Xenopus tropicalis: one gene and its partner. The protein of the gene in region 2 interacts with the protein of the main gene of each other region in a pairwise test. Links are inferred from orthologs where the notes say so. Each region holds a gene or a part of one and is shown on either strand. Other genes may lie near its edges.

The links.
Region 1: the proteins of rnf5 (region 2) and slc38a7 interact in binary tests that used the Homo sapiens proteins (3 or more experiments, as listed by UniProt). The two-hybrid records come from large-scale screens. The link is inferred for Xenopus tropicalis from reciprocal best matches to the Homo sapiens genes RNF5 and SLC38A7.

Annotation. Positions count from the first base shown.
Region 1 is NC_030680.2:75,575,749-75,579,147, forward strand, and holds the end of slc38a7 (putative sodium-coupled neutral amino acid transporter 7), read left to right. Parts: intron 1-714; coding exon 715-817; 3' UTR 818-2,784; downstream 2,785-3,399. UniProt on the Homo sapiens protein: Symporter that selectively cotransports sodium ions and amino acids, such as L-glutamine and L-asparagine from the lysosome into the cytoplasm and may participates in mTORC1 activation. The transport activity requires an acidic lysosomal lumen.
Region 2 is NC_030684.2:73,547,081-73,551,192, reverse strand, and holds the start of rnf5 (E3 ubiquitin-protein ligase RNF5), read left to right. Parts: upstream 1-1,177; 5' UTR 1,178-1,190; coding exon 1,191-1,291; intron 1,292-2,912; coding exon 2,913-2,931; intron 2,932-4,112. Other genes in the region: agpat1 (1-acyl-sn-glycerol-3-phosphate acyltransferase alpha), read right to left, coding at 848-950. UniProt on the Homo sapiens protein: Membrane-bound E3 ubiquitin-protein ligase that mediates ubiquitination of target proteins. May function together with E2 ubiquitin-conjugating enzymes UBE2D1/UBCH5A and UBE2D2/UBC4.

The DNA of each region.
Region 1 (3,399 bases), on a different chromosome or scaffold from region 2:
GGTCCGTGGAAACAATTTTTTGCCTCCTACCAGGCCGTGGTGCTAAAAAGGTTGGGGACCCCTGCTCTACATTATACTAAAAGTTAACTCAAAGGTGAACAACCCCTTTAATCAGCTGGTTTACAAAATTGTTTTACGAGTAAGAAACAAACATGCAAAACATTCAGAAACTGCTTTTAATAGCATCTTTTAAATTTTATTTATCTGTTATTTATATATCTTATGTATATATAGCACCAACACGTTTAGGCAGAGCTGTACTGAGATTATACATGATTCACATCAGTCCCTTCCACAGTAGATCTTACAGACCAATTTCCCTATCACATTCATACACAACAGAGTCAATTTTATAAGAAGCCATGTTATTGGAGTATAGGAGGAAGCTGTAGTACCCAGGGCAAACCCACACAGAAACAGCAAGAACATACAAACTGTGCACAGATAGTGCCCAAGCTGATATAGAACTCAGGACCCCAATGCTGCAGTGCAGAAATACTACTTGTGCACTTTAAAAACCAAACTGTGAAAAAACACCTTTAAGAACTGTAGGAATACTAGAAGATACTTAGAATGCATTTTATGAGGACATAATTAGTACTGTATATTTGTATACCCTTTTGTTACAGGCTTTACTGTGAAACCCACCCAGTGATGCATTAATTATTCTCTTGGTACTAATGGTCTTATTCTCTCTGCCTTTTGCTTTTGTAGTTGGTGGGCACTGCTGAGTTACGGTGTTAGCATGGTCACCATTGGAACATTTATCTTTGGCCAGACCACTACCAAAGCCATCTTTGTGGATCTACTGGGATAATCTATGAACTTTGATACAAGAGGTTAAAGGAACTGTAAGGCATTACTTGAATACTGGACATCTCACATGATTCCTTTTTTTTGGTGTTCTGCAAGGCATTACTCAGACACAGTTCTAAAAATGCACTGCAAACAAGTTTTTTTGATTTGCTAATGTAAGCAAACCAAAAATTATGCTTATACATGCCAAGCATTAATCACTGTATAATTAACAAATAATTATTTAATTAGGACACAGGACCAACTACAGAGATATACATTTGCTACAGCAACACTTCTGAGAAGAACAATTTTAATATATATGTTAAGGTCTAAATAAGAAGATTGTCTTGATTGTCAGAAAACAAAACAATCTCATGTTATGATCAATGCACACTTTACTGTATATATTTGGGTTCAGTTATAGAAATAATTCAGAGGATTAAATGTTGTTGGATAGCCATTTTCTGTATAAACCCAGTGAGGAATGTGTAAGCAAACAAAAAGCATTACATTATCTAGAGATGGTTTGGGAATCATTTCTTACCAGGTTTACTGTTAAAAACTAAATATTCAACAAAATCACATAACTGTAGGTGCACTATGAAAGTTTATAATACATTGGTTTATAGGCAAATAGTGACACACTCCTGTTAAAGTCCAAAACATGTCACTATATCTTAAATATTTACTTCCTTATGAAAGTGGCTATTTCTATAGTCAGTCAGTATCATGGCCGGTGTGTCTAGCTCATTTCTATAAAGCCATAAAATTTTGTGTGATGAAATCACAGTTGCTTGACCAATGTTGAGCTGCCTTGAGTTGATTTTCAATGTGTTATTAACTAGGTGGAATATAAATTCGTGTTTGCAGAGTTATAGACTTATCAGTTCAAATTTGGCCCACAGCCAATCATTTAGATACCCCAAATGCTGGTCTGAATATATATTTAAAAAAAGCAAGACATGGACAGTTATTTTATGTGAAGTGTGTATTCCAGATTTCTGATACCCAGACATTTTGGTGCAGCCTATTGTGTTCAAGGTTAGGTTCTCTGATATTCTGGGAACCATCTTTTTTTTTTTTCTTGTTAATGTGCAATAGCATGTTTTGAAAGGGATTTGTTCTTGTATGAATAGAAAACCAAATGGAATATCTGTATTTTTTATTTAAATGTTTACTACAGCATAGAGCAAAGTGCATCCCCCTATCTGCTAGGAACATGGTTCATTGAACAGCAATATACTCCTGCGTTCCCCATAATCTCTGTAAAAACGGCTTGTTCAAATATTAGTTTCTCCATTGCAACATTTTAAGTTCTATTTTAATTTTTTTTTGTCTAAGTCACATGTCCACCTTAGTATATTGAGCTTATTGGCAGGAAGATCACATGAACAAGCACACAAAAGAGGCTAATTTATTGAAGCATGAGTTGTACCAAATACATGGCCTGTGCACAATAAGGGTACTGATTCTTAGGCTATTTAGACCAACAGAAGATGCTACTTTTTAATAGGTAAACACCACCAATCAAAACAATAAAAAACAAGTTTTTGCATGCAAATATACATGAATTTATATATAATGTCATATAGAAATAGCACTAAGCAATCATGTTAAGCTTATATGTAGAGTTCATTGCTAATAAGACTTAAAATTCAGCATTTAGCCTTATGTTAATTAACTATATAATTAATAATAAGTGGTGTCAAATTCAGCATTTACAATTTTTATACAGCCATGAAGGAAATCCATTTAACCTCATAATAATTTAGTTCATAGCTTTACTAGGATCCCAAGAAATGTGTGCCACTATGTTATCATTTGATTTTTAACAATTATGCTCTGTGGGCCACAAATGTGATACCTTTTTGGATAATGGTGTCCTGTAACCTGGGGACAACAGGTTGGGATTAGAGAATAGGTTTGTTTTTCTCGAATGCCCTGTAACTGGCATCCCTCCAAACCACTACTTCATAGAGGTCACTTCTTCTGTAGGGGCTAATTCTTTAAAGGAGCAGTTCAGTGTAAAATAGGTAGACTTCGCAAAAAAAAAAAAAATGTTTTTAATATAGTTATGAAGGCAAAAATGTAATCTATAAGGCTGGAGCGGGCAGATGTCTAACATAATGGCCAGAGCACTACTTCCTGCTTAACAGCTCTCTAAGCTGTTAGCAGCCAGTAACCAATCAGTGACTTTGGGGGGGGGGGCATATTGGACATAACTTCAGTTAGTTTGAATTTGAATCTGACCTGCTTGCTCACACACTAACTGAACAGTTGTGTCCCATGTGGCCCCCTACAATTAGTCACTGACTAACTTAGAGGTTAGAGAGCCGAAAGTAGTGTTATGGCTATTACATTAGACATCTGTCCACTCCAGCTTTATAGATTATATTTTTGCCCAACTATATTTCAAATATTTTTTTTATTTTGCTCAGTCTATCCGTTTTACCCAGTTTCATTTTTACGCTGAACTGTTCCTTTAAGGTTAAAAAAGGCACACATATTATTGGGGAATATATTTTATAACTTTTTTTTTTACCCATGAGTTTTTTTTTATCTGCTATACTTCCAATTTTTAAAACATTCTGATTTTTATTT
Region 2 (4,112 bases):
GACCGATATCGGCAGCTACAACCGGCCCGTGTATGGCCACCTTAAGAGTTGTTTCTGTATGGTTTCATTATACAGGAACCACTTATCTTCAGATTCTAAGTAACAAAAAATGTATTTATTACAGTAATACAGTAACCTTACTAAAGGAAAACACATGCATTTATTGTATCTATAGTTATTAAAACAAAAAACTGTCATCTACAAAATTATAGGAACTAAATATATGGCATTTTGTCCTGCATTCTTACTACTATTACTTACATTTAAAATATCTTAATCAGGGTTTATCAAACTTGTTCTCAGGGAACTAAGATTTAGCCTGGAAGTCAGGCTTGGTGTTGCTTCAAGAACTGGTTTAGAATAAATAATAATATATAAATTTGAATCAGTACTGCCTTTAGTAGGAAGAAAATTCACTAAAGGAAAAAACATAGAAAACCACCTCCCCCCACCAAAAAAAACCAGTCATCGATTTTGTTTTCCGACCTACAGTCTGAACGATGCTAAATATAACCAACAGAATCTTCCGTTTACAAAGTAAAAGCTATAAATATAATATAGGGCTGGGTGGAAGTATGTGTGTGTACTTAAGCGTTAATAGCACAGATACAAAGTTTGCTTGCAGATTTTGCCGGTGACAGGCCTCTAAACACATCACTTATGAAACTATCGCATAATATTGCACAAGTTTCAATAAAATATATTGTTATCCGGTAGTTTATAAAATACGTATCACTGCTGGTAACTCTACTCGAATAATTTTACCATAACAGTCTTCACCTCCGATTACAAATAAGGATTGTTCATTATTGCCTTCTTTTAACAAGGAATAAAGTTTTTAACCTACAACAAAAAAAAACCCTGTGGGCCCGGAACGTGTATTCCACTCCCGCACGAACGCAAGACGCCGCGTCATAACGGTTATCCGAGACAAGAGGTGTCGTCAGCATTTGAGTGACGGGAGTTACAACCAATCGATGTCACGTATTATCCTAGTATCACCAATCAGCATTTTGACTGCTTGACAGCTAACTAGAAAGTGCATAGCCAATAGGGGTGCATAATTGTGATGGAGAACTTGTCCACCCTATCACACACAAGATTTGTTTATCTTTGCGTCCAATACACTCTTTAACCTTTCCCGTGACGCTCCGCTAGTTGCACAGCTAGGTTCCGGTTGATCGGTTGCCATGGCGGCGGCTGCTGGCAGCCCCGGTGCGGCTTATGAGTGTAATATCTGCTTGGAGACAGCGCGGGAACCTGTTGTCAGCGTGTGTGGGCATTTGTACTGGTGAGTGGAATGTGATGTGTCTGCCCTGTAGGCAGGTCTCTGCTAAGCTTGTTAATTCTGCTTTGCTGAGACTGTGTCCTTCAGTGGGTATGTATTTAGTTTGCTGTAGGAATGCATTGTTAGGGGGTTCGGCTACGGTCAGAAAGCTATCAGTAAAGTACAAGACCGAAATATTCAGGAAAGCTTCACCCCAACTGAAACTGTTCCCCTATAAAGGACTCAAAGCATTGGATGAGGGGAAAGAATGAGGCCCAGAGTACTAGTTGGAATGTGTTGAATGCTCTTAGAACCATATCATGTGACCTGTAGCTACAGCATGTTAAAGGGTAACTAAAATGCAATATAAGTTGCATGTCATGAAAAACAAACCTTCTAAACGTATTAAAATTTGCCTCCATACAAAAACTATTTTTTTGCAATGAAAAAAGGAAAATTGTCTGCAATGATTTAAAAAAATAAAATAAAATAAAATAAAAATGGAGACCTTACTGTTACATTGTTTCAATGTTTTCTGTTTTTTTTTTTTTCTTGAAGCAGGAGTCTGATTATGATTGACAATCATGTTTAATACAGCTATTGGGTGGGGCTCCCATTGCCTGCCATAGAAGATGTATTTGAGTTAATTCTTTCATAAAAGCAGACTTAAGCACAAATAATTCATGTAGAGGATCAAGATTGTGTGCGAGTTGGTTATTTTGAAAGAGTGATTTCCTTTAGGCAATTGGAATGCATCCCCAATGATGAATTAGTCCTCACTGACTACTCCATGAACAAAAAAAACAGACTGAAGAGTAACTTAAATATTAAAGAAATAGTACAAAATATATTTTTTGACCAATCATATTTTCTTAAGATAAAGCTGATTTTTATTTTTGCATCAGTTCCCCTTTGACATTTTGTAATCTTGTTATAAGCAAATTTTAACAGGTTCTCTTGATGTATTTTCACTGTACCCTGCAATCTTCTATGTTTAACCCAATCTTACAGTGAATATATTAATCCTTTCACTTATTGAGCCCCTTTGATCCACGCCATGATTTGTGTTGTTGGATTAAACTGAAACCCTGGAACTGCAGATTCTACATTGCTGGTACATATGTGCCTGTGCCCTGTAGATGCTTGAAATTAAAGGTGACAATTAGAGGATCCTTTGATGCTTGTTCTAGAAAATCAATGTCTTCATAATTCTACAATTGAATTATAAACTAGGCTATATCTGCAAGCACAGCCATTTTAAGCACAAATATTCCAATAGAACCTGTAAGCACAGCTGGTACAATATTGTTTTTTGTCTTAGCCAAAGAAAGTGCATTTTGCTTTACATATTTCATTATATCATTAAAACTCACTTGGCTTAAGCCAGAAAACGCAAAGTATGTTCAGATTCATATGTTTAAAATGAATATTTTTTCACAAACGACCGCAAGGCTAAACAGATAATGTGTCCAAAGTATAAACACTGATTTGTTAGTGTAAACAGATTTTGTTTATATGTATTGTATGGAAGAGACGCTTGTAAAATGCCACTGCTTGTAGTTTCTGTATGTGTGTTTATATAACAACGCTGATCGTTAAAACTGCATTGTGTTCTGTATTCTGATGTTATGTTTGTGTTTTACAGCTGGCCTTGTCTGCATCAGGTATGTATTTATTAATAAAAAAGTAGAATGAGTTAAATTCTTCTTTAGCTTTGTAGCAGCAGCAGCTAGCAGTGCTAACGGTTTCATTCAGATCACATGTTCAGTGTTACAGAAATATTTATTTGTAATAAAAGCATAACATAGATAAACTACTGTAGTATACATGAAGGGTATTTTATTTGTTTGTAGTAGTTCAAACCGTTTGCATATTGACTGCAACCTGTTCATATAGTGAAAAGTATGTATGTATGTATGTATATCTTAATTTATAAAGCGCTACTTATGTATGCAGCGCTGTACAGTACAATACATTAATACAAACAGGGGATTATTAAATAATAGATAAATACAAAGTACAACAATAAATACAGATAGATACAAGATAAATACAGTTGCAATAAGTTAAGAGTCAAAGACACAAGAAGATGGAGGTCCCCGTAGAGCTTACAATCTATATGGGAGGGTAACTTACAGACACAAATAGGCAAATGCACTATAAGTGCTGTAGGTCACAGTGGGTGACACTACAATATAAGTGCTGATTCCCAGATCAGGTGCTGGGTGAGTGCTCCAAAAGGTAGTCTTTAAGTTTAATTTTAAAAAGACTGGGGGAGGATTCTCTTCGGAGGAAATCAGGGAGGGCATTCCAAATGTAAGGGGCAGCAAGGCAGAAAAGTTTAAGGCGGGAAACAGCAGTAGTAGTGGGGGGCGCAACCAAACGATCGCTCTGTGAGGAACGAAGGAGTCGGCCAGGAACATACAGAGACACAAGGGAAGAGATGTAGTGAGGAGCAGAGGAATGGAGGGCTTTGAAGGTTAAAGGAACAGTAACACCAAAAAATGAAAGAGCTTTAAAGTAATAAAAATATAATGCACTGTTGCCCTGCACTGGTAAAACTGGTGTGTTTGCTACAGTAACACTACTATAATTTATATAATAAGCTGCTGTGTAGCCATGGGGGGCAGCCATTCAAGCTGGAGAAAAGGCACAGGTTACATAGCAGATAACAGATAAGCTCTGTGGAATACAATAGTGTTTTATCTGTTATCTGCTATGTGCCTGTGCCTTTTCTCCTTTGAATGGCTACCTCCATGGCTACATAGCAACTTATTTATATAAATTATAGTAGACTTTCTGAAGTAAACACACAACTTTTACCAGTGCAGGGCAACAGCACATT